Elephas maximus indicus: one gene and its partners. The protein of the gene in region 1 purifies or fractionates together with the protein of each later gene. This does not show direct contact. Links are inferred from orthologs where the notes say so. Each region holds a gene or a part of one and is shown in the gene's direction. Other genes may lie near its edges.

Region 1 (7,476 bases):
CGAGGACCAGGGTTGGCAGCAGCAGAGCTGCCGGACCCCGAGCTGGGCCGCTCACTCCCTGTGTGCCCCGCCAAGGCTTCCCCGGCCAGCGAACGCCGACCCCACTCACCCTCGCTGAGGAAGGCGTCCCAGATGCGCAGCACCGTGGGGAAGGGCAGGGAGCGGGCGAAGAGGCACAGGAACCACTCGGGCAGGTAGAGCAGGGGCCCGACGCCCACCTGCTGTAGGTGCTTGTGCACCCTCGGGAGAAGCTTCCGCAGCAGAGCCGCAAACACCTCAGCATCCAGCTGCACTGCCTCCTGCAGCCCCGTTGTCAGCCAGCCATCAGTCCCCCACCCCAGCCCAGGCCTCCTCTGCCCCCAGGCCCTCCCCCTGCCTGCCCGGCCCCTCCTAGCCATGCTGGCTCCCCATCGCACCCTCCCCAGCCTCGGGGGCCCCCATCCCACCTCTCACCATGTGCGGCCCATAGTAGCCGGGGAGGTAGACCTCACAGATCTGCACCAGGCACCAGAAGGCCTCCTGAGGAGGAGGGCCAGCCATAAGTGTCCGCCTCAAGAGGAACACAGGGCAGGAGGAAGGGGAATGGGGCCTAGAAACCTAGGACTGAGGGACTCAGGGCTGCCCTTACCCTGCTCAGTGCCTGGTAGGCTCTTTCCCAAAGCCTCCCCCTGTGCCTAAGCTAGGGGCCTGATGATAGCTTTAAGGGGTTGGAAGTCATAGGGCTCAGGGTGTTGAATTTGAGGGTACCGTGGTTGGAAGGGTCCCAAAGTTCAAGTCCTGGGTTCCTGGGGTCAGGGATCATGGTCACAGGGTCACAGGAGTCATGAGGTCAAGGCGATAAGGCCCAGACTCCTGGATCACTGGGGTAAGGGTTAGGGCTCAAGGATCCCAGGTTCCTGGAGTCAAGGTCATTGGGGTTGAAGGTCCCTAATGTTGGTAGTCATGATGCCTGGGCCACGCAGACAGGGTCTGGGAGTCAAAGATCCAGGTACCTGAAGCCAGAGGCCCCGGGGTTGGTGGTCATAGGTCCAGGGCTCAGGACCACGGGGGGCCTGGATCACTAGATTTGGGGTCAGGGTCTCAGGTCCCTGGAGCAGGGCCCAGGGCCACTCACCTCCGGAGGCAGGTGCATGAGCAGGACGGCCGCCACAGGGCCCTGGGCCTGGCAGTAGCCCTGTTCTGGCCGATACAAGGTGTAGGCCTTGAGGACCTGCAGGAGCCCCTGCTGCCTGTGCCAGGAGACCTCGTTAGGGCCAGTCCCCAGACACCCTTCCCCCCAGGTAGCCTCTCCCCGGGCCTCAGCCTTCCTGGGCCTTGCCAGCTCCCCTGAGATGCAGGGGCAGGGGGCTGGGGTGGGGTTCCTGGACATCACTGGTTCGTACCCATGACCCTGGGGTGAGACAAACATCTCGTGCAGAGGGAACTGGCGGTGCAGGTCCCTACCGATGGTCTCCATCCACTGGGGGTCTCCAGGGGCCGAGGCCAGCTCCTGTGGTGGGCAAGCAGGCAGGTGGGTGTGAGGGCTCAAAGGAGCTCTGGGAAGGGGAGGCAGGAGCTCAGCCAAGTCCCTCACCTGATAGGTTCCAGGGCTGTTCTCCTGACAGATGTGGGCCCCGCACAGCAGGGGCCAGCACCTGGCCCTCAGGGCTGAGGGGATGCCTTTCCGGCACTGTATCTTCACCTGTGGGCAGAGGCTGATTAACCAGTAAGCAAGGTACACGCTGGCTTACAGTAAGCAAGGTATCCCCTGCCTTAATTGTGTTTACTTACTAATCTTTAGTGCACAATCTCACACAGGTTTCACATGTGAAGTGGCAGAAAGGCCAGTGCTCTGGACAGAGACCCAGCCTCATGAGAAACTGAACACTACAGATTAGTAAATGAGCACCAGTAAGCCCGTGTGTATCTTTTTATTGGGTAATCCGTCCCCTCCTGTGGGAGAGGCCTGGGGTTCCATGAGGCCACATGACTTGTTGTTGGAAAGGGGCCACTTTGGGTGGTTGGGAGCAAAGATAGGAGACGCTGGGTCACAGGATGGGTACCTTTTGTGGGGGTGGGGGCAAGTGAAGCATAGGGGGTCGGATAAGGAGGCCTGGGTGGACCCACTGTCCCCCTCACCTTCTTGTACCGCCGGGACATGGTCTTCTCCCAGTGCGAGGTCATCTCCACCCACTTCATCTCCCGCTGGCGGATAAGGTCTGCAGGGGGTTGGCCTGGCCTGGGGGCACATGGCACAGTATCCAGACGCTGGACAGCTGTTCCCAGGAGCCCACACCACCTGCCACCCTCTATGCTACCTGGGCAAGCCCAGCTCCTGGGCCTGGGATCTCTCAGGAGCCCCAGGGAGTGACCTGTGACCCAGGAGTTGCCAATGGTTGTCATGGGGATAGGAAAGGATGTGGCTCTGATGTGGGCGGAAACAGGAGAGACTGAAGGGGTGTGGGAGTGCCTGTTGGGGGAAGGGTTGTCTAGCTTTCCCCCCAGGACAGGGACAGATAAGTCACAGGGGAGGTGAGTTGGACAGAGCCCTGGACTGGATGCCAGGAGTCCTGAGTTGGAGAGTTTAGGTCTCTAATCTACTGTGTGACCTCAGGCAAGTACCTGTCTCTGGACTGGTTTTCCTGTCTGTACGTTTAGGGGAAGGAGGAAGGAGATATTGTGGGTTCTTTGGTTTGGATCTGGGATTCTTGTGCCAGAGGTTAAAAGCAGAAGGATGTTCAGCCCCAGTGGTGGGTGTCAACCCTCAGAGATTTGGGAGGGTACAAGAGACATATAGGGATTTCCTCCCAGCCATTCCTGCCTCAGGGTTCTACCTGGAGCTTGAAAAGAGGTGATACCGACTGAGTCCCATTCCCTACTGCCAGACCCTCCCAGGATGCTCAAAGTTGGACGTCATTCCAGAATCCAGCCCTCAGGCCCCATCCTCAGCCCCGGCACTCTATACCTCCCCCCCCCCCCCCCCCCACTTACCATGGCTCTGCTGAGCCTCCGCCGATGAAGCCATAGCGGTCAGCCTGGCGATATGGGCCGGGCCCACTCAGCTCTGAGTCGGACCCCAAGGAGCTGGAGTCATCCTGCAGCTCGGTAGGCTGCACCAGGTCCTCCCCTAGGGCCTGGGCCATGCTGCCCCCGACCCCAGATGCCACCGGCTGCAAGATGCGGGGAGAGCCAGGGTAAAGGGCAGTTCCCGACCCGTCTGGGTTCGGGGCTCACAGCCAGCCAGGCCCCAGCCCCAGGGCCTAGATGTTGAGTCGGAGGGGTAGGTTTCAGGGTATCTCACCAAGGCCCCTGGGTTCCCTCTTTTTCGGAGTCAGGGGCTGGTGACTAGGCCCTGAAATGGCAGCAAGGCCAGACCTCTGTACAAAGATCCAGACCCAGGCCCAGCTGCTGCCCCCACCAGCCCAGCTCACCTCTGGGCTGCACCTCACCTCCTCCTCTCACTTCCTCCTCAACCCTAGCTTCAGCAGCGCGCTGAGGGGCCCCTCCCAAGTAGGGAGGTCACCCCTTCCTCTCTGAGGCTCTTCCTGCCTGCCCTGGTGCCCTGTGAGCCACGGCCCCTCCCAACCTCCCACGGGGCCGCAGATGTGGGTTTCTATGCCTTCTGTGTGGCGCGGGTCTGCTAGGTAGAGAGGTAGAGAGGAGGTGTCGCCTCCGATTTAGATTCCTGGCATGTAAGACGTCCAAGGTGGGGCTCCAATGAGAATTAGGGCTTATTTACTGTTTGCTCTTTACAAAGTTACGCTTTTAACACGTACATAATGCGTGCACATTGTTTAACTGTGCTACTCACAAGGTAATTACTCACAAGGTAATTACAGGACTTTCATTTAGCCAGCACTACTCTGGTTCGGTGTGGACAAGAATGGGTTTGAAGGTCAGTGACAGGTGGTCTTCGGGCTTGGTCGGCCGCCCGGGGGTTGCCAGGGAGACTTAGGAGAATGAGACCCTCCGTGAATGTGAGATCACTGTCTCAGGTCAGCCCTTTGCTATCTCGAAGCCTCAGTTTCCTTTTCTGAACTTCTAGGACTCAACCCGCCACGTTTGGGGAGACGGACAGGGCTGGGTTTGTCGCGGTTATTAATGCGCTCGCACCACCCTCGCCCCAGGGCCAAACCACCACAGGGCAGCGGTGGAAAAAGGGCTGTTCAGTCTAAAAGGGAAAAACAACTTCCATAGGACTTCTGGTGAGAGACCTCAGAACCGGGCTCCGTGACTCCTCGGGGGGCGGGACCAGACGTGGCCACGCCCCACAAACCACGCCCCCAAGCCACAGCCAGGCTCCACCCCACCCCGCCAAAGCCCGCCCACCGCCGAGGCCCGGCCTCCAAGGCCGTGGCGGCGCCGCGCCTCCCGTCCGGAGGGGGCGCTAGAGCGCGGGGCGCGGGCGCGGGCGCGGGCGCGGGCGCGGGCGCGGGCGCGGGCCGGGCGGCGGCCGAGGCGGGGCGGGAGGCGCGCGGGGGCGGCCCGGGCGGGCGGAAAGAGCGCCAGGCCGGAAGGAGGCAGCAGGAGGGCGGGCGGCAGGAGCGGGCCCGGAGCGGCAGGGTCGGAGCGGCGGCGCCGCCATGTCCGACACCGAGAAGCTCAACTTGGACTCCATCATCGGGCGCCTTCTGGAAGGTGAGCGGGGGCCGGGCAGGGTCGCGCCCGCCCCGCCTTGGCCCCCCGCCCGGCCCGGAAGTGGCGCGCGGCGAGCCTGCCCCTCCCGGGCCTGCGTAGCCTGGGCGGGGACGCCCCGAGGTCCCGGCCCACCGCCGCTCCCCCACGCGCGGGCACGCCTGGGGGGTCCGAGGCCCGCTCCGGCTCGCGGAGCAGCCCCCTCTCCAGGGCCGGGGGTCTCGGGTGCGTGCGGGACCTGAGGCGCCTAGACCGGGGTGGGGTCCCGCGCTCTGAGGTGTGGGGCGGCGGGCCTGGCGCACAGCAACCCCATGTACAGGGCCCTGAGGGTAGTGGGGTCCTGTCTTGGGGGGCTTGAGGCCGAGGTCCCAGGCGACAGCAACATCTGTCCCTGGGCCAGGAGGGGTACCGTGGGACCCCGTGTCGCCCACCCTCCTGCCTGAAGACCCAGAGTCCTGACGCCCTTTTCTCCCCCAGTGCAAGGCTCACGGCCTGGGAAGAATGTCCAGCTGACAGAGAACGAGATCCGTGGTCTGTGTCTCAAGTCCAGGGAGATCTTCCTGAGCCAGCCCATTCTTCTGGAGCTGGAGGCGCCCCTCAAGATATGCGGTGAGCCCCCTGAAAGTGGCATAGGCCCCTCAAGTGTCTGGGTCCCTCCTCTCTGGAGCCTAACCTGACCCCGCTTCACTTGCAAACCCTGCACCTGGCACTGACGCGATTCCCGGGGTCACAGGTGACATCCACGGCCAGTACTATGACCTTCTGCGGTTGTTTGAGTACGGCGGCTTTCCTCCGGAGAGCAACTACCTCTTCCTGGGGGACTACGTGGACCGGGGCAAGCAGTCTCTGGAGACCATCTGTCTGCTGCTGGCCTATAAGATCAAGTACCCCGAGAACTTTTTCCTGCTCCGTGGGAACCACGAGTGTGCCAGCATCAACCGCATCTACGGCTTCTATGACGAGTGTGAGTGGTCCGGGGTCTGGGCACTGCCCAGCTCAAATGCCCTCCTCTCTGTTCAGCGGAACCCTCATATTGGCTTGGCGTTAGCCATACTGCCTGCCAGATTCCCGCTAGACTGAGCTCCGCAAAGGCAGGGTCTGGTTCAGGGCATGTCTGCCTGGCCCGCCCTCCCTGGAGGGGATACACTCAGGAGGGGCTTGGTGAATGGTTGCTGGCAATTTGAATTCGTACTGCTTTTCTTGGAGGCTCTGCCTGGTGACACTCCCACCTCCAGTGCACCCATTACTTAAATACTCAGGACGTCTAACTGGCTTGGACTCTGCTGGCCAGAAGCTGAGCTAAACCAGATCAGGTCTTGCCTGGCCCTGCTCATGGGGTTGGGGTGGGTGGGTGTGTGTTAGGCGGAGGATGTACCAACCCTGAGGTTCTGGATTGGAACTTGGGCGTTCCTGTGGACTCTGCTGCTTTAGAACTCCATCCTGGAGGAGTGGTAGGCAGCGTGGGGAATGTTAGCCCCCTTGCCTTTCACTCTCTTCTCCCAGCTGGGTCTGGATGGCCCACGCAGCACCCTGGGGGGCCCAGAGACCCAGGCTGGGGTGGGGTGGGGTCAGTGAACAGCCTTCTCAGAGCCAGCCCTTTCCTCCAAGCAGGCAAGAGACGCTACAACATCAAGCTGTGGAAAACCTTCACCGACTGCTTCAACTGCCTGCCCATCGCGGCCATTGTGGATGAGAAGATTTTCTGCTGCCATGGAGGTGCGGGCCTGGGGGCTGGCGAGCGCCTTCTTACAGCCGGCGTCGTGCTGCTGAGGGAGTGAATGCCTGCGAAGGCAGGGCCAGCCACACCGCCTTGGGATGAAGCATGGTTCGCTGGAGGGCGAGTGTCCTGTCGCCTGGAACGGCTTGCGTGTTGTCTTAGATGTCACTTTTTCCAAGAAGTTGCCTCACCACCCTCTGTTAGGGTGCACTGTGGTGGAATTTGCTTATCTCCTTTTTCCAGAGAGCTGTGGGCATTCCTTGAGGGCAGGGAATTCTTGTTTGTTTGCCCCTGTGCTCAGCGATTGGTAAATGCTGAGGGGAGGATGAAGAGGCCTGCCTGGGCCTGGCGGTGGTGGTGGTGGTGGTGGGGAAGGTGAGGTGGTTGGTGCAGCTGCCTGGAGGTGGGCTCCCTGGTGGAGGCTTGTTGAGGCATCGAGCCGCGTGTGTCTCCCAGGCCTATCCCCAGACCTGCAATCCATGGAGCAGATCCGGCGGATCATGCGGCCCACCGATGTGCCTGACCAGGGCCTGCTGTGCGACCTGCTGTGGTCCGACCCCGACAAGGACGTGCAGGGCTGGGGCGAGAACGACCGCGGTGTCTCCTTTACCTTCGGGGCCGAGGTGGTGGCCAAGTTCCTGCACAAACATGACTTGGACCTCATTTGCCGGGCGCATCAGGTGGGCGGACAGTGCTGGGTCCGCAGGGGGTGGGGACGGGCAGGGCATTTCCGCACCAAACTCCTTATCCCTGCCCTTGCCCAGGTGGTGGAAGACGGCTACGAGTTCTTTGCCAAGCGGCAGCTGGTGACACTTTTCTCAGCTCCTAACTACTGTGGCGAGTTTGACAACGCTGGTGCCATGATGAGTGTGGATGAGACTCTTATGTGCTCCTTCCAGGTGGCTGTAGGGAGGGGGGGTGACCTCATGTGCTTCTCCCGGGGGGGCGGGGAGTGATGGGCTCTCAGGTGCGTCTTCCAGGTGGCTGTAGGGGTGAGCACTAGGCCCTGTGGCCCAGCCCGAGAGTCTGACTAGTTCCGTCTCTTGTAGATCCTCAAACCCGCCGACAAGAACAAGGGGAAATACGGGCAGTTCAGCGGCCTGAATCCTGGAGGCCGGCCCATCACCCCACCCCGCAATTCTGCC
Region 2 (7,882 bases), on another chromosome or scaffold:
CCTTCCTCTTTTTCACTGACCCTCTACTCTACCATGCATGATGTCCGTCTCCAGGGACTAGTCCCTTGTAGTCTCGCCATCCTTGCCTTTAATGAGTATTCTGGCAATACTTCTTCTAAGACAGACTTGTGTGTCAGGGAGGAATGCTTTCACCATACTTATTTAATATGTATGCTACACAAATAACCCGAGAAGCCCGACTATATGAAGAAGAATGTGGCATCAGGATTTGAGGAAGACTAATTAACAACCCGTGATATGCAGATGACACAACTTTGCTTGCTGAAAGTGAAGAGGACTTCAGTATGGATTACACCTCAACATAAAACAAAAACCTCACAACCGGACCAATAATCAACATCTTAGTAAATGGAGAAACCACTGACATTGTGAAGGATTTCATTTTACTTTGATCCACAATCAACACCCATGGGAACAGCAGTCCAGAAATCAAACGATGCATTGCATTGGGCAAACCTGCTACAAAAGACATCTATAAAGTGTTAAAAAACAAAGAGATCACTTTGAGAAGTAAGGTGCACCTGACCCAAGTCATGGTGTTTTTAATTGCCTAATATGCATGTGAAAGGTGGACAATGAATAAGGAAGACCAAAGAAGAACTGATACTTTGAATTATGGTGTTGGTGAAGAATACTGAATATACCATGGTCTGCCAGAAGAATGAACAAATATGTCTTGGAAGAAATACAGCCAGAATATTCCTTAGAAGCGAGGATGATGGATGAGACTTCCTCTGACATACTTTGGACACGTTATTGGAAGGGACCAGTTCCTGAAGAAGAACATCATGCTTGGGAAAGTAGAGGGTCAATGAAAAAGAGGAAGATCCCCAACAAGGTGGACTGACACAGTGGCTGCAATGATATGCTCAAGCATAGTAAGGATTGTGAGGATGGCACAGGACTGGACGGTGTTTCATTCTTTTGTACGTAGGGTCACTTTGAGTCAGAACCGACTTGATGACACCTAAGAACAACGGTGCTTCTTGACTTCTTTTGAATGTAACCGTACTCTGGTCTGAGATTGATCTTCTCCAAACACCACTATGATGAAAAATTTGATTTTAGGTAACCAACTCTTTACAAGGGGTTGAAAAAAGGAGAAAAGAAGAATTATCACCCCAAACCTTTTCTTTCCTCCTGCTACTTTTGTCTCTCTAATGCTTCTGCATAGCTGCTCAGCTGGTTTGGGGAAATGATAGAGGGACCCTTTTAAAAGCACCTGGCCTTATACCCCGGTACTTTTTTTTCTGATGGGAGCTGTGTGTATTCCATGGAATGATTAAAGCCTTAAGGCATCTCCTTAAGAAGTACGGCTTATCTCTATTAGGCAGTAATTCCTTTCCTGAGTTCAACCTTTGGGAAGAAGAATCCTAAAGGATTCCTTTGCTTTTTGCAAAGAATCATTTAGAGAATAACAATGGAGAAGATCAAGCTAATCATTACACAATCGGTTAATCATTACACAATCACAGTTAGGAAGGCTTGTTTAGGGTGGGGCTTTAGTTCTTTTAATCATGATTGAAAAGTGAAGTCCATTTTAGTTCAGGGTCTTGAGGGAGAAATTTCATAAGAAACTAATCTGTAAAGCATGGAGCAGGAATGCCTGGTTATAAAAAAGAACAACTACACGATTTGGCTGTATCTGTATGTGCTGTTCATATGAGTTAGAAGTAAGTGGTCAGCGATGAATAGCAAAGATGAGTCATATACCCTGATTATATAGCTGTCATTTCACCATTTTCTATGAGTACAGATGCAGAATCACTGCTGAAGGTACAGTTCTCGAAGAACCAATTGCCTACTTTATAAAGGGATTATGAAAGAAATATTTGACAAAACATAGATAACTATTGACGAGTGTATCCTGGCTTCCACCCTTGAAGAACAGTGTTTTGGGGCTCATTCTTATATTATGAGTAAGCAACACTTATTTAACAATCAACAGGGAGTCATTTTATTGTCTCTAATCGTTTTTTTTTTTTTTTAATCGTATACTTCATACATTATTCCAAGGAATGAAACCACATTTCCCTCTCCTACATACTCAGCCTCAGCATGTATTATTTCCATTTCCCTCCCATCAAATCTGCTTTTGGGAAATAATCTGATGAATTAGATCTAAATAACTAATAAGGCTTAAAATATTACATTTTCCAGGATTATGATTTTGTGCCAGAGGATGAAACTACTCAAAGGGAAAAAACCCCAATGGCAGAATTTCAGGTGAGCTGAAGGAGGGCTTTTGGGTTATAGGGACTTCTGTAGCCTGAATGATGGTTAGCCAGGTTGGTCCTGAGTATGAGTTCAAGTAAAAAATGACTAGGACAGGGCAGGTCTTAGCCTAGGGATGTGGTCTAGTTCTACTTATTTAGGTTTGCAGTGGTGGTGGTGGTTAGGTTTACTTTGGACACCCCAAGATTTAAAGGGCTCTTGAATCAACCTGGGAAACCCTGGCAGCTTAGTGGTTAAGAGTTCGGGTGCTAACCAAAAGGTTGGCAGTTTGAATCCACCAGCTACTCTTTGGAAACCCTATGGAGCCGTTCTATTCTGTCCTATAGGGTTGCTATGAGTCGGAAATGACTTGAAGGCAACAGGTTTTGGTTGAATCAACTTGAGACTAGATTTAGCATTCTAATTCCAAGATCCAGCTGGTCTCTGGTATGGGAGATTCTTCACCCTGGAATGATTTAGGGGACTGATCCTTTCAGTTCATAGCTAGAACATCCGGCTCTGTTCAGACTCACAGGAGATTTTGGAAGTGAGGAAGAAATCTTTTCTCATGAGGATTTAAAAATTGATCATATAATATGCTAACTTTAAATTTTATACAATGGCTAAGATTCTTATTCATATAAAATGGATACCTCGCTTGGCATATATGGTTGCTGTTTCCTATTCTAGTTACAACACTCTTACTTCCAGTTAAGCACTGAATAAGCCTGAACAATCTGGTATTGATATTATTAGTAAATCTTCAACTTCTGCTCTACATTAAGGAACTAATACCAAAACCAAACCCGTTGCCGTCGGAGTAGAACTGCCCCATACAGTTTCCGAGGAGCGGATGGTGGATTCGAACTGCCGACTTTTTGGTTAGCAGCCCAGCTCTTAACTACTAGCCACCAGAGCTCCTATACCCGTTGGCGTCAAGTCGATTCCGACTCATAGCAACCTATAACGGCTCCTTTACCAGGGTTAATTCCAGCAATGGGGGGTTAGAGGTGGGAGGTGGGGTTAGTTAAAATGCTCCCGCCCCTAGTAGAATGTCCTGAGTATCTTTAGGGTTATTTCAAGTGCTTTTCACAAGTATACAACTCACTTTGGTAAATGATTCTTTGATGGTTTTTAATGAACTCCTCCCGTTGGATGCGCGCCAAAAATCATCTGCAGGGTATTCAACTCTTTATTCATACTTGGTAATAAATAATTATCTCTGTAACGCAGACGGAAGAACTGAACCAGTGACTTCAGGGACCCAGAGACTAATTACCATCACTGTACACAGTTAAGCACAGCGGGGGTAGGGGGTGGGGTGTGTGGTTTGCTCAGTATCTTTTCTTCTCCGGGTAAAACAAAGCCGTCTTGCCTGTTAAGGTATCTAAAGCAGCAACTGCAAAAAACAGTGCGATGTTATGGTTGAGGATTTCTGTGCCATATGTGTTGACACAATCCTTAAAAATCTCTCTCCGCAATAAACGCAAACCCTGCCAGGCTGAATTATTAGGGCCAACGCAATTCACTGCACCACCAAAACCGCTGGGGTTGGAAGCCTACGTCGCATTCGGAGTATATCCAATGTTTCTTCAAACAAAGGCACTATCTTGAGGCAATTTCGCGGGCCATTTTCCTCCTTCCAGCGCCAGCTTTGTCTCCCTGCCGGTGTGAGGCTGAGAACTGGAGGAGCCCCAGCTGGGTGGCTGTGGGAGCAAGCTCCGAGCAAGGGCCAGCGTGGGAAGCTTCACCGAAATGCCGCTGTGGTTTCCTGCAACCTGAGCGTGCCATTAGCGGAAGTTGGAGTGCTGCAGTTGAAAGAGATACCTGCAGCCTTCAAATCGGGGTTGGACTTGGACAACCTCTCCGCACCGATTACTGTCGTACAAAGAAACTCAGTCAGCTGGGGCGGCGGAGGCCTGTGGGCTCTCGGTCTCCGGGGCTCAGCGCGGCGCTGCGAGGAGCCGGTCAGGGTCCGCGTCTGCACCGCCACTCCCCTCGGACCGCTCAGGAGCGGGTGTGTGCGGGGTCGTGGGGCGGGCTGGGGAGAGGCAGATAGGCCTCCCCGGGGCCCTTCGCCGCGCAGCGACTCACTTGCTAACCCTCGGCCGCCGACAGCCCCTCCCCCACGGCCCCGCTGCCCCTCGCCCGCCGCCCCCCGGCGCCGTCGACGTCGGCCGCCCGCCCCCGCGAGCAGCCACTGGCTCGCGCCGACCTCCAGCCCGGCTGTTGGCGGTTGGGGCGAAGACGGCGGGAGGCCGCCCCGCCCCCGCCGCGCGCTGCTGCTTCCACCTCGCCGGGGCGGTGGCGCTGTTGCTGTCGCGGCCTGTGAGGCAGTAACTCCTCTCCACCCCAGCCCCTTCCTCCTCCTTTCTCTCCTCTCCCTCCCTCCCCTCCCCTCCCCTCTCCTCGCTGTCCCTAGCTCGAGTGAATGTGGCGCGGCAGCGCGGGACGCAGCCTCGGCGCCTGCCGCGGCCCCACGAGCTCGTGAGGAGACGCCGCCGGCTGTCCCCTCCCCCTGCGCTTCTTGGGGGAGCCACAGCCGCTGGGGAAGAAGAGCGCTGAGGGGAGCGAAGGGACGGCGGCGGGAAAACCGGGGAGGGAGCAGAAGAGGGTCCGAGGACGGGGAAGGGAAGGCGGGGAGGGACGGACGGAAGGACGGACAGCCCGACGGACGGCCCGGGGAGGGGTCCGCCAGCGAGTCTCCCCGGCCCCTCGGTTCCGGCTCCGGGCGGCGGCAGCAGCGCGGGCGAAGGGCGCGGCAGGCGCTATCGAGACAATAACCCCGCCGCCCGGCTCTGGGGGCGGCGGCAGCGAAGAGGAGGTGGCGGCCTAGTGCGGCCGAGGCTCGCCGAGCACCTCGGCGGCGTCTAGTACCGCGTCGGCCGGGTTCCGCCTCCGTCGGGTGTACGGGGCGCCCGGGGCCCGAGCCCCAGGCTCCCCGCGGACGCCCCCTCCCCGGAGTGCGGGGAGCTGGTTTTCCGGGTTCCCCTGGACGGAGCTGGATCCTGCTTCTCGCCGAGGCAGGAAGTGAGTTTCGCACGGTAATTCCGGGCGTGTCACGAGTGAGAAGTCTCCCCCCCCTGCGGAGAGCCTACTTGGGGCTGGGAAACTCCTGCAAAACTCGAGACCCGGAAACCAGCCCGCATCCCAACCCCCACCAAAGCAACCTACTCTTCTTACTGCGGGAGGCCGCTCCACATCCGCTCTCACCGGAGGGAGAAATTCGACTGGATCCAAAGTGACTCATGAAGGAAAGGAAATCATGTCAGGCGAAGCCTTGAAAAAGCTGCCCTGAGACACTGCCCGACCGAAAGGTAATTTTCACGAAAAGTGTCTAGAAGTCACAAAGTTCGTGGGCCAGGAAAGACTTTAGTGTTTCTCACTTTTCCGCAAAGTTGCCCTAAATTCTCTTGTAATATCGAATATAGTTTAGTTGTTACATAGTACTGAGGTTCCCCCCCCCCCCCACTTTTTTCCCCTCTACCATCTAGGCTCTGGTTATTTTAAAAGATTTTAAGAATGCGGTGGGACGAAAAGTTCTCTGCAGTCCGAAGAAAGAGTGCCTTTGTTTAGCACAAGGTGCAGAAGTTTTACTTTTCCTGAACATATACAATGTATATTTTTTTTATTAAGTTGCTGAGTCTGGCAACTCTTGTTTTGGAAGAAAGGTCGCTGCAGCGAGTGGTTCGCTTTTAAGAGATGGCAGCCACATTTGTTCATACTGTTACCGATTATTTTGGTTAATTATATACAGAGACTTTGTAGTTCAAGCCCTTATAAATATATTGGAGCTTATTAACAAAAACAAAAAAGCGTTGCCATTCTTAATCGTTTTTCTGGGCGGGTAATATATTTCTTTAGGTAATAACTTGTTCCTTTCAGACGTTTAGAACCTTATAATACTTATTTCGTTAATTGAAAGCAAGTATCTGTTAGATTTTTCCTGTAACTGTCCTAGTAGGAAGAAAAAGGAGGGGGTAGGGGTTATGGATGAAGAGAGGTATACTTAAAAAAAAAAACAAAAAACAACGCACCTGTAACTGGTTTGATTTGCGTGCCAGGACTTCTTTGCAACTGAGAACCGAATGTGTAGGAAGAGAAGTAAAAGGACTTTCGTGGAAGTCACATTGATTTTGATACAAAGCAGTACTTTTTGAATAGTGCAGTATTTACATTTTTGTATTGCCACAAATGTTTTTACCAGGTTCTGCTTAATGCCAGGTACCTACTGAGGGGGAGAGATTCATGAAGCATGGCAGACGTTCCACCAGTCAGAGTTATGAACACTTCTGAACCAATGGGTTGTCTTCTTAGATAAAACTAGTTTTGGTTGCCGGAAACCCGGATTGTTTTTTCAGTGGTGTTTTACTGTGTCTGTGTTTTGAAGTTTAGCTTTTCCCGGTACTTTTGTGGTAAAGGGGGGTGAAGATAATATACTGTGCTTTTGAATAAATATTGGATAAATACAGTATTCCGTTGGTAGGTGTATCTTTATAAATTTATGTTTTGCTTGCCCATGAGACCTCAAGTAGTTACCGGAAACCTGAGGAAAAAGTTGCCTTTCTTTAGTTCAAAGAAGAGGTGATCTTAAAAATCAGAATCAAGTATTTCACAGCTTGTTCTTTGTTACTTTACTAACCACATTTCAAAAAGTGAATCTTTTAATTTTTAGTATGTATCGTTTTAATATTTTCCCAGAGCCTAGTCTCTAGACCTGTGTGTGTTTGTGAACCACCAAGCAATTATTATTACGTCAAACTAGCTTTATCAAGGAGTTTAAAATGCATTACTGATTTACTTTGTGATTTTGGAATGTATGGTTAGGCAGTGGAAGAGGTTATTCTTGGGCATCTGAAAGAGCGGAACAAAATAAATGACATTGAACTTCAGTTTCCTTATATGGCTTATACTTGGCCTCAGAGTACCAAAGTCTTAATAGAGCAAATCTTTTACAGAGACTTAACTTTGTGAAGATGTTTCTCTATATTAGTAAATTTTATTTAAAAAAAAAATTGTAGCACCTAAATATTTAAAACCGGTTATAAGCTATAGTTCTTGACTTTTTTTCATTGTTGAGGGAATAGTAGTATGTTTAGATGCAGGCAACACATTTTTAAAAGTGAGGTGCTCACCTTTGTATCTGTGTTTGGGTCCTTTTTTTCCCCCTCAGCAAGGTGTAATTTGTGGTTCACTTAGAATTCTATGAGTTTAGTGTTGAATTTTAGGTTTATGAATGAATTTTAGGTTTTAATCTTGTCAAACAATAAATATTTTAAACTCTTTTTTAAAAATATAGTGACAAAGGTTTGAAAAGATACTTGTTTTAGAGAGACAATCAGTTCAAGTATTTTAAATGGCTTCAAAAATTTGGATATTCTTAGTATCGTGGGTTTTCTTGGATTAAATTAGCAAATATAGAGTACTTCCAAAGTGTTTTGCTTATATTGCACAAAATACATATTTAATGGCTGTTTGTTGAAGGTAATCATGTTTTCATTAGTGATGTATTTAACTCATCCGTCAACTAATCATTTCAAGTAGTAAGATACGAAGTCAGCCTGCTGCTTGTGATCAAGCTATTGGAAATTTTCCACATATGAAAGTTTGTGGAGGCTCAAATATGGAAACCAAATTTTTATTGCAT
Region 3 (7,321 bases), about 47 Mb from region 1:
CAAAGCAATGATTGTGAGGATGGTGCAGGATCAGGCAGTGTTTCATTCTGTTGCACGCAGGGTCACTATGAGTCACACTCAACTCAACAGAATATAACAACCTAACAAAAAATAATAACTAATTCTATGGGGCAGTTCTACTCTGTCCTATAGGGTCACTACGAGTTGGAATCGACTCAACAGCACTGGCTTTGATTTGGTTTTATACCAGTAACTATTCTGAGCACACTGTATATACTAACTCATTCAATTCTTATCACAACTTAACAAAAAAAACCGTTGCCAACTCATAGAGACCCTATAGGACAGAGTAAAACTGCCCCATAGGGTTTCCAAGGAGTGCCTGGTAGATTCAAACTGCTGACCTTTTTGGTTAGCATCCATAGCTCTCCACCACTATGCCACCAGGGTTTCCTCAACTTTACAAGGTAGTTACTACTATTATTCCCATTTTACAGATAAAACCAAAAAAACCCAAACTGGTTGCCCTTGAGTCAATTCCAACTCAGAGTGACCTTATAGGACAGGTAGAACTCCCCTCTAGTTTCTAAGGAGCGCTTGGTAAGTTGGAACTGCTGACCTTTTGGTTAGTAGCCATAGCACTTAAACACTAGGCCACCAGGGTTAAACATAAAAAAAAAAAAATGCACTTCTATAATGTAATGTTACTTTAATTATACTGACTGTTCACAGTATATTACGTATTATTCAATTTTTTTTTTAAAGAAGTCAACATCCTATTGCTTGATTCTGCTCCACTTGAAAATAACAGTATGCTGTGCAGTACTCAAAAGAGGGCATACAATGTATAGGTGGAATTCAGAATATTTAATAGATTTTGATAATTTTTAGAAAAAGGAGTATCAATTCCAATACAGGAATCAGAACCACAAGGAAAAATACAAGTAGAAGAGTAGATAGAACAAATACTGCTATCAACAGCATTTAATTTCCTTCTACTGCAGTCAATTTCTAGACATTTATTCAACTATGCTCAACGTACAAAGTCTGAGCATTTTACTATTAAATAATTGGCCAATAACGTGGGCCATGAGGGAGAGGATCAACATGAGGGAAAGGACCACAAATAATTCATTTTCCTCTGTTTTTTTTTTTTTTTTTTTCCTGGAATACCTCCCAAAGAATGGAAGGAAACAACCTTTCAGTGGGGCCCCTTCCCTCTTGTCTGCAGCCCAGTCTACTACCAGACAACCCAGAGCCCTACCGCAGTTGCTAAAAGCCAGATACCCTAAACGATTTAAGATTGTTTAATCCCTTCTGGACACAGGAAATAAGCAGGAATTCAGGAAATAGGGTCTTTAGAGCTGATTCTGTGGTTCTACGGGTTAAGTCACTAAACTTTTCTCCTGGAGCAAAGTTCCGTTTACGGTATGAGACCACAGAAGTGGCCTGGTTACTTTTAACTGTGGTAGCACAAAGGTGAGTGTGCCTTTGCTGACTATGTCTTCAAAGGTTGTCCACTTTCCCCTGCAAAGAAAAGCTGTCTAAAAACTTAACGCCCGAGGCCAAAAACGCGACCTGGAGGCTGGAACCCGAATGCGGAGAAAGTGAAAGTAGGAAGTTCCAAGGAAAGGGAGCAATGCACTGTTTTGCTTGAGAATTCGTCTCCGAGTTCTACTCTGACGAGGAAACCCTGTTTGGAAACTTCTCAGCCCAGAAGGAATGAATGTTGAGGGGGAGGAAGCGAGAGCAGGGTCGCGTGTTTCCTTTGCTCCTGTCGAAGCCGGGGAGCCCAGGAGTTCCCCCAGAAGGGCGGCTCTAGGAGAGCTCCTGGGACTCAGCCATCTTCTCACCTGAATCGGCCTCTGACTCAGGCCAGTGACGGTCACAACGAGGTCGAAGAACCTAAACTTGCCGCACGCCTAGATCCCAGCCCTGGGGGAAACTTGGCGACGACGGACAAATTGGGCCCACGTCCGCCCCAGCAACTGAGGACCGTCTGTCTTTCGTTCCGCTGCTTCCAGTGCCCAGCTGTCTTGCAGGTGCTGGGGTTTCCAAACGTAGTTCCTGAGAACATAAATAAGATCCCACCATTTCCACGTTTAAATTCACCTTTACCGTTTTTATGTTGTTGCTGTTGTCTTAATGTCTGAGGAAACTTTAAATCTCGCTCCATTTTTATACCTAATTTCTACTCTCTTCAGTTTGCTAAGAACTTATGTTCAATTTCGATGTTCTAGCAACACTGTTTTATGTTCCAATTTCTAATAAAATGTGGGCATTTCTGTCTCAGTAGCTATACTTGTTTTAGAAGTTTTTGTTCTTTTTCCTCCATTTCATTACAAAATAAGCCATTCTCTAATCCTGTCTGTTAGGTCACCTTCATATCTTGCCAAGTTAACAAGTCAGCTGACAAGAGAAACAGCTTTGGTTGTAATGTCAGAATTGCTCTGCTTTAACTATATGTACAATTTCTTAAGAGTCCATACCTCACCCTCTGAACTCTGCTAAATGGCAAGTGTAAAATGGGATTTAAATTTAAATGTAAAGCAAGTACTTGGTTCAGGTGTAGAAACATCTGTGAGACTAGTAAACCTTATCATACAATGTAAAAAACTAACAAAAGTTAGATAGGCATCAAAAATTAGAAAATTTAAAAGACTTCTATTTTTTACCAATGATTAATGAAATTTTACAAAAATTTGGTAAGATCTGCACATGTTCAGGCCGGGTGAAGATATTATTTTAATGGCTCTTAATATAAAATGTATTTCAGAGACAAATGATTCAACTCTGAAATGGCTGGTTTGTACAACTCAAATGTTTTCCTTTAAGGATTAACTGAAAATTTCAACTTCTTCCTCAGTAAAATGAAGATAACAGCACCTACATCTCATGGACTGTTTTGAGAATTAAATATCATTTGTAAAGTGATTAATAAAACGCCTGGAAATCAAAGGCAACAAAGTACTATACAGTGAGTGCATATTGAGTTAAAATAAAAAGGTTTCTCGATTTTATTACCAAACCCCAAACTACACAGATAACTATTACATTAGTTAAGATACATGTAATACAACCAAAGAGTAGTGATACATGTAATACAACTACAGAGTAATAGCTTTATTGAGGCTCTATCCAGTGTTCAAAAACAATCATATAACATGCACCATATTCAATTCACAGTGCTTCCAAATGACATTCAATAAGAAATAAATGTCATTTATCTTGGGGGTTCCCATACACTATTTTATTTCTAATACTCTGCATGAGTGTTTTGCAACCCTATTTATACAGTGATAATCAATTTTCAGAATACGAACTCCAAGAGGGCGGGGATTTTGATATTGTGTACTATCATGTCCCTAAAATCTACAAAAGTGCGTAGCGCGTACATAATAGGCTCAGTCAATAATTTCACTGAATGAATGAATACAGTGATAATAATATCCAAAACCAAACCAAACCCAGTGCCGTCGAGTCGATTCCAACTCATAGCGACCCTATAGGACAGAGTAGAACTGCCCCATTGAGTTTCCAAGGAGTGCCTGGTGGATTCTAACTGCCGACCCTTTGGTTAGCAGCCGTAGCACTTAACCACTACGTCACCAGAGTTTCCAATAATAATATAAATAAGAAAAATGAAATTCAGGTCGTACTATTAAAAATTTTCTAACAAATAAAAATGAGTCATCTTAACAAAGCAAACATATTTTCCAGGTATTTTTCTCTCTTTTTAAAGTGTACATTTTTAAGTAACATAGCTACCTACACCCTGGGACTTAAAAAAAAAAAAAACCTTCATCCAATAATGAAAAAGGCTAACATCTTTAAAGGATTTTATTTCGTAATGCCATCATTAGAAAGAATGTAAAACAGTCAAACACCAAAGTTTCTCAGTCAGCACTAAAAGAAGTAGGCTTGGGAGTCCTCAGAAATGAAGCCTGGGGGCTCCAATCAAAAGCCTTGGACTTCCAAATAAAGTGAAGAGAACTCATTTCTACCCAGGTGAACCTGGCTGGAAGGAACAGGGTCCTACACTTTCCAGATCATGGGACGTCTTTGAGGCCTCACTATTCAGAGGGAAAAGGAGAATATAAACACCCAGAGCCCATTAGCCCATAACCAATAGCCTCTGCCTCACCCCCTAGCAGAGGGCACACGCCAACCTCCACCCGCACACGTCTGACTCACACCCTGAACCCAGAGACCGGACCCTGCACCCACAGGTCTGCAGGCTCACTGATGATCCCGGGGGGGCTGCCTCCAACCAGAAGCTCCAGCCTAGCCCCTCCCACTCCGGCCACCGCCTCCGGAAACGGCCGCGCTTGTTGCCACGGCGACGAGGAGCAGGGTCGCTTCCCGGCGCGGCGCCACTGAATCTCTAGGCGCCAAGCAGTCACGCGCCGCGGCAACGTCCGGCGTGATGATGTCACACAGGCGGCAGCCAATAAAATGAGGCGCTTAGGAAGCTGGCTTGGGTTTGAATCTTGTGGCTGATTTTGAAGCGCGGTGAGTCTGGTATCAAAGTGAAGTGGTAGCGGTGGCCTCTTGTGGGCTTGAGGTGAGTGAGGGTCACGCGAAGTGGAAACTCTGGTCTCTGGGTTGCTCTTTCTAATGACCTGCCCCACTGGGAGCGAAGGGTCCCGCCTCTTCAGGTCTAAAGAAAGGTCGGTCCAAGTTGTGCTTGTTGACAAACGCCGGAGCGTTGGGTGGGGGCTGAGGAGTTGTCAGGGCTCCTGAGGAAAAAGTAAAATGAAGGACGGGCTCGAGAACGCGCTAGAGCAAGAGTTAGCCTTAAGGTGAGCCCTTGACAGCTCAGCACGAAGGCAGGAATCACCTGCCTTAAATTCTGAGAGGAAGTCGGAAGTTTTAAAGGGCATCTTGGCCCCCCTTCCCAGACTTCGGCATAGCACTTAGTTGTCCCCTACCTTGCAGCATGAAGTTCCTTCCAGACTCCAACTTTGGAGACGCAGAAGTAAGCCTAACTCAGTGCTTAACTATCAAATGGAGAACACTGGTTCGCCAAGACATAAAATTTTTGTCCAGTGAAGATCTGTTGTTAGCCTGGCACAGGTCAATCGGGAGCCCACCCCAAGCTCCTGTTTCTACTTTTGTAGCATCAAGATAAGACCTCCCCTGACTGCCTCACGGGATTACTGATGATCAGACCAGGTATGGAAGGGATACTGCTTTGGTAAAGTGCACTGCTAATGAAAGACACTTTAAGCACTGAGAATCAGTCTTTCTGTTGTCTATTTTTAGTTTCTGCAAAACTCCTTTAGCTGCTCATTGGGCGCTCAGTTACAGAAAGGTCAAGGCTGGCTGTTGTTTACTATATAAGAAGAGATTATTTGGCCAGAGCTGAATAAGTTTGCTGTATAATATGTAGTACTGGTTATTAGCTGTGGAACATTAGGCAGAATGTATAGACATTCTATAGGTTTTATGTGTTAAGTGTCATTCCAGCACCCTTTCCCCCCCCCACCTTAGGTTTTGTGGGGGGATTTTTGCACTCTGGTACTTGGGAATATAAGGTCCAAAGAGTTGATAGTGCTTGTTATTAAATTCTATTATTTTTTAAGAACTGTTTCAGTAAAATAAAGAGTATCTGCCTTTAATAATCATAACTAATCTTATTTTAAGTTACTGAATAGAGATTTACAAGTATATAATATTTTCAATTTAAAGTGCATCTTGTCTTACTATAAACATACATCAAGCCAATTAAAGCACACAAGAAAATGTTTTTTGTACTACCAACTATATGAAAACTAGGAGGAAGAAATAGCCCAGCAGTCAATGTCACCCTTGCCATTTGAACTTTTGTTTTCCGTGATGCTTGTGAGTCAAGAAAGCAATGGCTCTAACACATTATTCAAAAGAAAGGAGAAAAATATTAGTGGTTGGGTTCTGGAAGCCCTGACAGTTTGCCCAGTCCTCTCAATTGAGTCTTTTACATAGCATATTTAATTTTATTGATGTTAGATGCAGAGCTGCTAGTAATGTCTGTTGCACCAATGTTGTGACAGCTTTAAAAAAAAAAACGAACACAGCATAATCAAATATGATGCTGAATGTAAGTTCTCTGACCTATTCTTGAGATATGTCATATTACAGGGCATGTATGGCTTCTTCCTGAATTGATATGCTTACTCTGTTTTTATAGCTCCATTCACAGACATGGGTCTGAAAGATATACAGGATCCATTGCCTTTACCTTTACAAAAGGGTTGTTACTTTTGAAATACCATAAAAGAGCATGATACTAATTATCTACCATAAACTTCCCTTCAAGACATGTATGGTGTTATGGGAAAATATTGATCTTGGAATCAAAAAGTTTGAATGTCATCTCTGTCCTTATAACTTTCAGAACCTGAATTTCTTCAGTAGATTATGATTATACCTACTTCAACAAGGTGGTGTGAGTTTTAAGTTAGAGATTATAAATGACAGTGTCAAGGATAGTTTTCAGCCCCCCAAAAAAGTCTGAGTCCAAACCTAATTCAGATTTGAGTTTGTACTTAAGAAATAATTCATAACCATATCACTCCATATCCAGGATAATTTCTCCAAAATTTCTGTACTTTCGTTTGGAAGCATTCTCTTCTAATTCGAGTAGAGCCTAGTTGTTAACAACATAGATTCTGAATTTGGGTATGCGTTTTCATTCTGGCTCCCCACTTATTAGCTATGTCAGCTTAGAAAAATTGCTTATCCTTTCTAAGGCTAAATCTCTGTTTTTGTTAAGTGGAGACAATAATAGGACCTACCTTCTATGATTATTATAAGGATTAAATGATTTGATGAATGTCAAATGTTTAACATAACATCTAGCACAGAGGGTACACAAATGTTAATGATTGTTTTTCATTATTACTAGTTATCACCATGTTGATCTAATCCAAGAGTTCCCTAATAATAGTATATTTGCTTTAAAAAAAAAATGGCTACTGTAAGATACCTGACAAACACATGGAAATCATAAACTTTCAGTTTGATTTCAACATTTGTTCAATGAGCTCCTATACTAGGCTCAGAGGTTTCTATCAAAAATAGGTAAATATATGTTTTTAAGTTTTTCTATGAGAAAATATCTGGAAGTTGTATATTTATATCAGGGAGAGTAGTGATTAAATAATTGGACTTTACATTCAGCAGCCTGAGTTCAAATCTCATGTCTCCTATTTCCAGTAGTGTAACTTTGGCCAGTTAACTTAATCTTTCTATACTACAGTTTCTCCCTCTATAAAACAAGGATAATCATAATACCTACATCATAGGATTTTTATGGGGATTGTTGTTAAGTGCCTTCAAGTAGATTTTCCACCTATAGCTATCCCATGGGGATTAAATG
Region 4 (7,969 bases), on another chromosome or scaffold:
TATGAGAAACTAATTTGTGTGGTAAACCTTCACCTAAAGCACAATAAAATAAAATATCATTGAGAAATAAAATTTACAGATCTTGGTGACCAATTTAAAAAAAAAGTGAGCTTTTTGTCAATAACAGAATTCTAGCAACTGGAACAGAGTGCCAGGTTAAGGTGGAACTAACCAGGTTGCACAGTGCAGGGTTCTTTTTTTTATGTCGGTTAGGATGTGAAGCAATTGAAACTCTCATAGTCTGCTGATGGGAGTATAAATTAGTACAACTATTTCACAAAACTGTTTGACAGTTTCTTATAAAAAAATTAAATATGCCTATGCTATTGTACCAGAGTTCAATCAGAGAAGAATAAGGATTTGTTACAGGGATTTAACTTCATGTAATTGTGGGAGCTGGTTGAACGTTCTCTGTATGGCTGTTGTTTTTGCATCTGATGCTGGAGCTTAAAGTCCACAATTGACAAGGGCGGATGGATATAAATTTGTGGGAAGAGAGGACAAGTTTGAATCCATGAGCATAAGCCAAACCTCTGGAGGACAAACTGGAACCCATGTTGGGTCTCACTGACTCCAACCTTGGTGGTGTAGGTGTCCTACAGGAGAAGCTGGAAGCCTTCATCATAGAGCTAAACACATATCTGGCTCAGGAATCAGGTGGAGTAGTTGAAGGCCCAGCTACTACCCCAAGTCAATGAGGTTAGCCAGCTCACCAGTAACAATATGCCTGGGCCACAAAGCTTCTGCCCCAACCTTCCAAGTGTAAAAAACAATATGCCACTGCTTTTCTTCTACTCTCCAAATCTCATTCAAGAATGTCTCTTGTGATCCGTCCTAAATAAAAAACATACATTAAAGGGAATTCTGGGAAATGTAGTTCACTCTACTCAAGATAAATGCACACACATTCACTTAAAGACACGTGCTAGAATGTACAATACAGTATATATTATTTTTGTGTTGGACTTCTTTTGCTTGATATTATATCTACAGAAGTCATCTATGTTGTTGTATGTATTCAGTAGATTGTTATTTGTTACTATTGTATAACATACCTGTCTTAGCCAGTGCTACTACGACAGAAATACCAGAAGTGAGTGGCTCAATGAAGAGAAATGTATTTTCTCACAGTTTAGGAGGCTAGAAGTCTGAATTTGGGACACTGACTCTAGGGAAAGGCTCTCTCTCTGTTGTCTCCGGGGCAATATCTCTTTCTGTTTCTGCAGCCCCTGCATTCCTTGGTTCCCTGGCAATTTCCATGTGACACCTACCTTCCCCTTCATTTGTGCTTACTTCTCTGTGCCTAATCTGCTCTATTCGTGTCTCAGAAATGGTTAGATTTCAGATACACCCTACACTGATAAGAAAACTCTATTCCCAAATGGGATTACAACCACAGGTATAGGGGTTAGGATTCCAAAATTTATTTTGGGGGGACACAATTCAATCCATAACAATACCTTTGTATGGATTAAAACAAACAAACAACCCCATTGCTGTCAAGTTGATTCTGACTCATAGCAACCTTATAGGACCAAATAGAACTGCCCCATAGGGTTTCTAAAGAGAGGCTAGCTGGTGGATTCGAACTGCCAACCTTTTGGTTAGAAGCCGTGCTCTTCACCACTGCACCACCAGGGTTCCAAGTATGAATAGAGCACAATTTATTTATTTTCTATTGTTGATGGATATTTGGGTAATTTCCAGTTTAGGGCTATTACAATAGCACTGCCATAAATACCTGTATACATGTGTCTTGCTGTATACTTAAGAGTGGAATTGCTGGGTCATAGGATTGGTATTTATCAGCTTTATTAGGCACTGCCAAACAGTTTTCCAAAGTGGTCATAGTTGTTTTTTATTATTAAAAGTAATAGAATCCAGAATACCATGCGTTTACAGCTGGGGAAGATGTCCTGTATGTGCTCAACTTACTCTCCTAACTCGGAGTGTTCCTAATTCCTTACCATACTGCCCCCATCTCAAGGAAGCCTGGCAGAGGCCTAGGGCTTCCCTCTAGTAAGGCCCTTTGCACAGGAAGTCCCAGGGCCTCAGCATCACGTTGATGTTGACACACCCTCTTCTGGGTACACAGGCCCATTGGGCAGCAGTGGGGCAACCATGTACATTAGACCCTGCACAAAGAGGTCATTTCCTTCCTTTTCTTTCTTCCTCTGGAGACTTTCCAGAACTATCCGTACCCACTGTGGCTCTGGGGACTTCCCTGGGAGCCTGTAGTATCCCCAGGCATGGGGAACTCAGTATTGCAGGTCCTTCCAGTTGGCCAGTGAACCAGACTGCCCACCACTTAGCAGTATGAAGAGTACTTGGAAGGGAGAATACCACGGCTGTTTTTGTGGGGTGTGCCTCCCACACGAAGCTGTGAGTGCTTTCAACTCCACAGAGCCTAGTACAGTTGCTTGCTTACCATATACACACAGTAAATATTTGTTACAAGGAATTGCCAGTAAGGAAATAGCCCCAGGCTGCTAGTCTGTGTGTTTTCCACAGCCCACACCAAAGATGGTTGTGAGGAGAAAGACTTCATAAAAAAAAAAAAAAAAAGGTAGGCGTTAACCTGGATTTGAAGGAAGGGTGTTTTGTGTATGAAAGGAGAGTGGGAAGGGCATTCCAGGTGGGAGGGTAGTAAAAGGAGGAGGGCAGGATCACAAAGTGAAATGCCTGCACAGACCTGGAAGGAAAAACAAAGGTGAGGAAACAGGGAGTGGTAGAGACTATACAGTAAATTGGGGGCCCATAGGGTCACTGTGAGTCTGAATTGACTCCATGGCAGTGGGCTTTTTTTTTTTTTTTTAAGGTGGTACAAACTGTTAAGAACTGGGTTATTAGCTTAAAGGCTGGCCGTTCAAACCACCCAGAGGTACCTTGGAAGAAAGGCCTGGTGATGTTTCTGAAAGGTCACAGTCATTGAAAATTCTCTGGAGCACAGTTCTACTCCGATACACACGGAGTTGCCATGAGTTGGATTAGACACGGCGGGTAATCAGTTTTGTTATATAATAAATTGGAGTGGCCCTACCACTCAGGGCCAGAGTTTGGTGCAAGGGCAGAAAGTGAACCTGTGTTGCTAAATCTGGTATTTCCAAAGAAGCCTAGAAATCTGGAATCCAAAAAAAAAAAAAAGCTCCAGGTAGGCTTAACAAAATCTGCAGGCTACTTTGGGCCCACTGTCTACCAACTTTAGGACTTGAGGAAAAGAATAAAAACCCTTTGCCATTGAGTCAATTCTGACTCATAGCGACCCTACAGGACAAAGTAGAACTGCCCCATAGTTTCCAACGAGCTCCTGGTGGATTCGAACTGCTGACCTTTTGGTTGGCAGCTGTAGCTCTTAATCACTACACCACCACGGTTTCTGAAGAAAAGAATAGAGATGGGAATACAGTTGGGGAGCACAGCAGGGCCCATGCGACAGGGGTGTAAGAGGGCAAAAGCCTCTGGCAGGAGTAGGTCACTTGGGATCAGGCCGTGGAAAGCTCCCAGTGTCGGCGGCGCTGGATGCCCACATCTCAAACGCCAGAGTGCGCACGATTTACCCAAGGTGCTGCTAAAAAGTTTGCGAAGCTCTGCTAGCTAGAGACAGTCGGGGGACTGTTTGGAGCCGGGGAGGGTGGCGGTGGAAACAATAGCTCAGGAAGATTAATTTGCCAACTGCATGCAGGCCGGAGATTGGGATATAGATTAGGGGCCGCAGCGAGCCAGAGATCCAGAGGGTGGAAGCCTTGAGGGCTCTCCAAAGGCCGCAATCCCGGCCCTACTGAAAGGAAGCGGGGCCCCCAGCCGCCCAAGCCATCTCCCCCCTAGTCACGTTGGAAGGGGAGCCCCAAGCTTTGCGCAGCTCCCCGCGGGCACTTGGGAACCTGTCTACCGCAGGCGGAACCGGAGGGCGGGGTGGAGGGGTGGGCTCACGGATGGGCAGGTGGGGCTGCTGTTGGGACCCCTGAAGATCCGAGAACCACGCCTCTCGTTCCCTCGCGCGGTGGAGGCGCCCACATCCCACCCCACGGCGCCGAGCTAGGCGCATCTCGCTGCCATGGCGACTGCCTCCATGGAGATTGAGAGCAGAGGCTGAGGTCCCCGGGGGCGCCTGCACAGTCTCTTCCAACCCCCACCCCCACGTGCTTTCTTTGTTCTGAAGCTTATTCCGGGCCGGGCGGGGCTCCGAGGACTTGTGTCAGGTCCAAGCAGGAGCGCCTCCTCCGAGGCAGGTGTATGGGGTGGAGGAGGAAGAGGCCGAGGGTCACAGGGGGAAGAATGGAGGGTTCCTCAGGGCCTGGAGGAAACCCTGGTGGTGTAGTGGTTAAGTGCTACGACTGCTAAACAAAGGGTTGGCAGTTGGAATCCACCAGGTGCTCTTTGGAAACTCTAGGGGCAGTTCTACTCTGTCCAATATGATCGCTATGAGTCGGAATCGACTCGACGGCGCCGGGTTTTGGTTTTTCAGGGCCTTTTGGGACAGGACCTAGTGATGCCCGTATCAGTTGCCGAGGAGGGCGTGGGAGCCTAGGGAGAAAGGTGACCTGCCTCTGAACCTAGCATTTCGGCCCAAGCTTTGTCCGACTGCCGCCCGAGGGTACAGGGTCCACGGAGGGCACCTCCCAGGTGGAGGCCAAGGCAGGAGGTGCAAGCTGCACCGCCGGAGGTGGGGCGGGGGCGGGGCCTACCAGGAGGCTCCTCCCACCTCCCTTTCCTTCTGCCCCTCCGGGCACCAGGCCTGGTCAGGACGGCCCGGCTGTCTTCATCGCGAGAACTCGCCGGGCCTTGGTTGGCTCGGACTCGCAAAGCGCAGTCGCGGCGCCTCCGGCACGTGACTCTGGCGGCATATCGCCTGTTGGCGGTTCTCTGGCGCCTGCTCATTGGTCGGCAGAGGCTCTCGCCCAGCCCCTCGGACCGACCAATGGGCGTAGGCGGAGGCGTGCCGGTGAGGCGGGCGGCGCGGCGCGGGCTGTCTGCTAGTGCTCTGCGCTGGGCCCCCGCCGCTGCCGCCGCTGTTGCCGCCGCCGCTGCTGCCGCCGCCGCTGCTGCCACCGTCGCTGCGGCTGTAGTCCTGGCCCAGCCCAGCCCCGGGGTGTGCCCCGCTTGGCGAGACTGACCTTCCTCTGCCGCCTGCCGGTTCCGCCTCGCTCGCCTAGATCCCCTCCCGGTCCCGGCCCCGTCCTAGGCAGAAGGTACTGGGGACCCCGTCGGCTGTCGGGGAGGGACTGGGGCGGGGGGCTCCATTGGGGGGGCCGGGCTCTGGAGAGCTTCCCGGGCCCCTGAGGTGGGGAGATGACAGAACCCGGAGACGTGGGTGACCGTTAGTTGGTGGGGCAAGGGTGTTCTCCGCGGGGCGCTGTTGGGGGCAGGGGTGTCACAGTGAGGGCAGGGGCGTAATGGGGTCAGCCCCGACACCCCCCCGCCACTGCCACCGCCTCTTTGTGTGACCTTGGACGAGTAGTAACTCTGAGCCTCCGCGGTCTCGGCACCCCTGGGAAGGGGAGCGGTGATATCGGGGGACGGGAGCTCCCAAGACTCCTGCGTCAGCCGAGGTGAAGGTGGGAAGCGCCCCAGGTTATCTCTGAGGGACAGAACCTCTGCCTCGCAGGGGTATAATGAGAGGACGTCCAGCGATTCTGTCTGCGAGAAGATGATAATGGGGCTGAATGGGAGCGCCACACCCACCAGGATGGCGGCGGGAGAGGCGAGGATACAGGGTCCTACGTCCGGGGCTCCTGGTGCCACTGCCGGCTCCTGGTGCCACTGCCGGCTCCCTGTGTCATGCACCAGAAGGGATTCGAACCTGTGTTGCGGTTAGTTGAGCAGGGGTTCTGCTGGACGGAGAAGATAGGCTTTAGGTTCCTTTCCTCTTGAATCTTGGCACTGGGGAATCAGGAAGGGTGTTTCTCTGCCCCAGGGGCTGAGGAAGGTCAGAGGCAGCTGTTTCCCCCTTCCCCTGACCCCTGGCCTGGCCTCTACTTGGGTCCCCAGGACCACAGGCCCAGGGAGGGGCCTGGGAGGGGCAGGCAGTCTGGAGGCTAGGGGAACCTAAGCACCCTCTAGCTGGGGGTGTGTTTATGAGGAGATGGAAGGATGCTGTACAGAGGATGGCAGCGCTTCTTGGGGAGACAGGAGGGTGTGGGATGGGGAGATCCTTTCCCCAGTTCAACATCCCCCCCCCCGCACCCCACCTTTTGTGAGAGAGAGAACACCCATACTTAGCTTTGCACCCTTGGCTTATCTGGAGGAAAGGGAAAATGAGGTCGCATCAAGACTGAGTTTATGTGAAGCCTTCACAACTACACCTGACCTCCAGCCTTGCCTTTCCAGGCCTTGTTCTAGGTATACAGGGACCCTGTTGTGTGCCCAGTCCTGTATCAGATCCTGGGAGTCAGGAGGTCACTGTGACCCTGTCTCAAGTCCTCCATGGGCAGCGATCCCTTTATAGGCCTGAGATTTAATGGGAGGCTGGATGGGGCTTCTGCTGGACTGAGTGTTTGAGGTTGGGAGGGGAAGGGAGAGGTGAGAAGGGTGGGAGGTTATAGAGTTCCTGGCCCAAAGTCCTTGGAACAGGCTGAGAATGGAGATTGAGGAATAAATGAGGAGCAAGGCCTTGAGAGGTTGGGGGCATAGCCCGACCACACAATGGTGGGGAGAACAATCTGGGTTGCCCCACGATGCCTTGGATTTGAGAGCTGTCTCTGGGGCAGGTGGTGTGGGGAGTACAGCTATAGGGGTGAGCGGCGGCTTCCTGAGCTCTGCTTTGCTGTGGATAGACTGTTGTTGCTTTAGCCCTTCCTCCAGTCCGCAGCCTTGGGCCCAGCACTGGACACCTGCAGTAGCAACTAGCGCCCTCCAGGGCTGGAGTCTAGGGTGCTGAGAACTCTGGGTTCCTGTGTGACCGTCCATCTGTCTGCCCACTTGCGGTGCCTGTGAGCCTGTTCCTCAGGCCAGACGCTCCCCTGGGCCTGGCTGAGTGCTGCCTGGGCCGAGTAGCCTGGAACTAGCCTTTATTTCTAAAGCTCTCTGTCCCCCAGAGGGGAGTTCTCCCCATTTTCCCTGAGAGCAACTGAGAGCAACAGAAGCCCTTAAGGTCCTTGTCCCAACTTTCCAGCCCTTCCTATCTATGACTGTTTAGGGTCCTACCCTTGACCTGTTGATAGCCCATCAAAGGCAGGGGCAGTTGTCATTTTTTTTATTTTTTGAGGGGGGCACCATGTTCCTCCCTGGTGGCATTTCCTAGGATGCACATTCTCCACATCTTCCTTGTGATCAGGACAGAGGGTGGAGACCCAGTCCGGATGGCACCTGGATCCTCTGGTTGGGAGGAACAGGGGCTCCAAGCAGCCTTCTCTCTGGCCCTGCTGGGGGCCTGGTTGCCAGGAGTAGGGAGGGCAGGAGGAGAGAAGGAGGAGGGAGGTCTTTTCAATCCTTGGGCTGTTTTCTGAGAAGGCTGAAGTCCCTGGAGCCTACCCTGAGGGCCCTTCCTGGCTGTTGCGGGAAGAGCCTGAAGCACCTCTGCCAGTGCCTTCCTGAAGTTGTTGTTGCTTCAGAAACCAGCCTTTGGGGTTTGCTTTCACAGAGGTGGGGGGACACGCTGGGGGAACGTGTCGTTACAGAGCTTCAGGCAGCAGCTCTACTTGCCGCACCCTGTGGGTTAGTGTTCACTGAGCCCTGTGAGGGAGAGGCTGCCGCTTATTCCTGTGTTACAGATGAGGAAACCAAGGTCAGAGAATTGAAGTTATTTGCCCCCAGTCACGTGGCCAGCAAGGGCCAGAGCCTGAATTTGAACCAGGACTGCTGGGCTCTGGAGCCCACGCTCCTGATCATCTCCCTATTGCCTGGGGGTGGGACGGGTGGGAGGTGGGAAGGACTGTGCCACTTGGGGCAAGCTGAGGATTGGGCTGACACAGGAGGAGGCTGGAGGTAGGGCCAGCCTTGGGCTCGCTTGGGGCCTAGTAGTTCCCTGGAC

What was found.
Region 2: the proteins of PPP1CA (region 1) and ERBIN purify together in Homo sapiens (affinity purification with mass spectrometry; 3 studies listed by BioGRID and IntAct, counting the BioPlex papers as one, with this or other methods). This does not show direct contact. The link is inferred for Elephas maximus indicus from reciprocal best matches to the Homo sapiens genes PPP1CA and ERBIN.
Region 3: the proteins of PPP1CA (region 1) and KIF18A purify together in Homo sapiens (affinity purification with mass spectrometry; 3 studies listed by BioGRID and IntAct, counting the BioPlex papers as one, with this or other methods). This does not show direct contact. The link is inferred for Elephas maximus indicus from reciprocal best matches to the Homo sapiens genes PPP1CA and KIF18A.
Region 4: the proteins of PPP1CA (region 1) and ADISSP purify together in Homo sapiens (affinity purification with mass spectrometry; 4 studies listed by BioGRID and IntAct, counting the BioPlex papers as one, with this or other methods). This does not show direct contact. The link is inferred for Elephas maximus indicus from reciprocal best matches to the Homo sapiens genes PPP1CA and ADISSP.

The regions. Positions count from the first base shown.
Region 1 is NC_064825.1:130,432,954-130,440,429, reverse strand, and holds the start of PPP1CA (serine/threonine-protein phosphatase PP1-alpha catalytic subunit), read left to right. Parts: upstream 1-4,467; 5' UTR 4,468-4,562; coding exon 4,563-4,617; intron 4,618-5,091; coding exon 5,092-5,223; intron 5,224-5,347; coding exon 5,348-5,578; intron 5,579-6,225; coding exon 6,226-6,330; intron 6,331-6,787; coding exon 6,788-7,011; intron 7,012-7,095; coding exon 7,096-7,230; intron 7,231-7,380; coding exon 7,381-7,476. Other genes in the region: TBC1D10C (carabin), read right to left, coding at 110-299, 454-519, 1,115-1,489, 1,574-1,681, 2,119-2,218, 2,971-3,122. UniProt on the Homo sapiens protein: Protein phosphatase that associates with over 200 regulatory proteins to form highly specific holoenzymes which dephosphorylate hundreds of biological targets.
Region 2 is NC_064820.1:70,759,851-70,767,732, forward strand, and holds the start of ERBIN (erbin), read left to right. Parts: upstream 1-4,870; 5' UTR 4,871-5,552; intron 5,553-7,882. UniProt on the Homo sapiens protein: Acts as an adapter for the receptor ERBB2, in epithelia. By binding the unphosphorylated 'Tyr-1248' of receptor ERBB2, it may contribute to stabilize this unphosphorylated state.
Region 3 is NC_064825.1:83,030,746-83,038,066, reverse strand, and holds the start of KIF18A (kinesin-like protein KIF18A), read left to right. Parts: upstream 1-4,305; 5' UTR 4,306-4,525; intron 4,526-7,321.
Region 4 is NC_064843.1:42,368,171-42,376,139, reverse strand, and holds the start of ADISSP (UPF0687 protein C20orf27 homolog), read left to right. Parts: upstream 1-4,964; 5' UTR 4,965-5,189; intron 5,190-7,899; exon of another isoform or gene 7,900-7,969. UniProt on the Homo sapiens protein: Adipocyte-secreted protein (adipokine) that acts as a key regulator for white adipose tissue (WAT) thermogenesis and glucose homeostasis at least in part through activation of protein kinase A (PKA).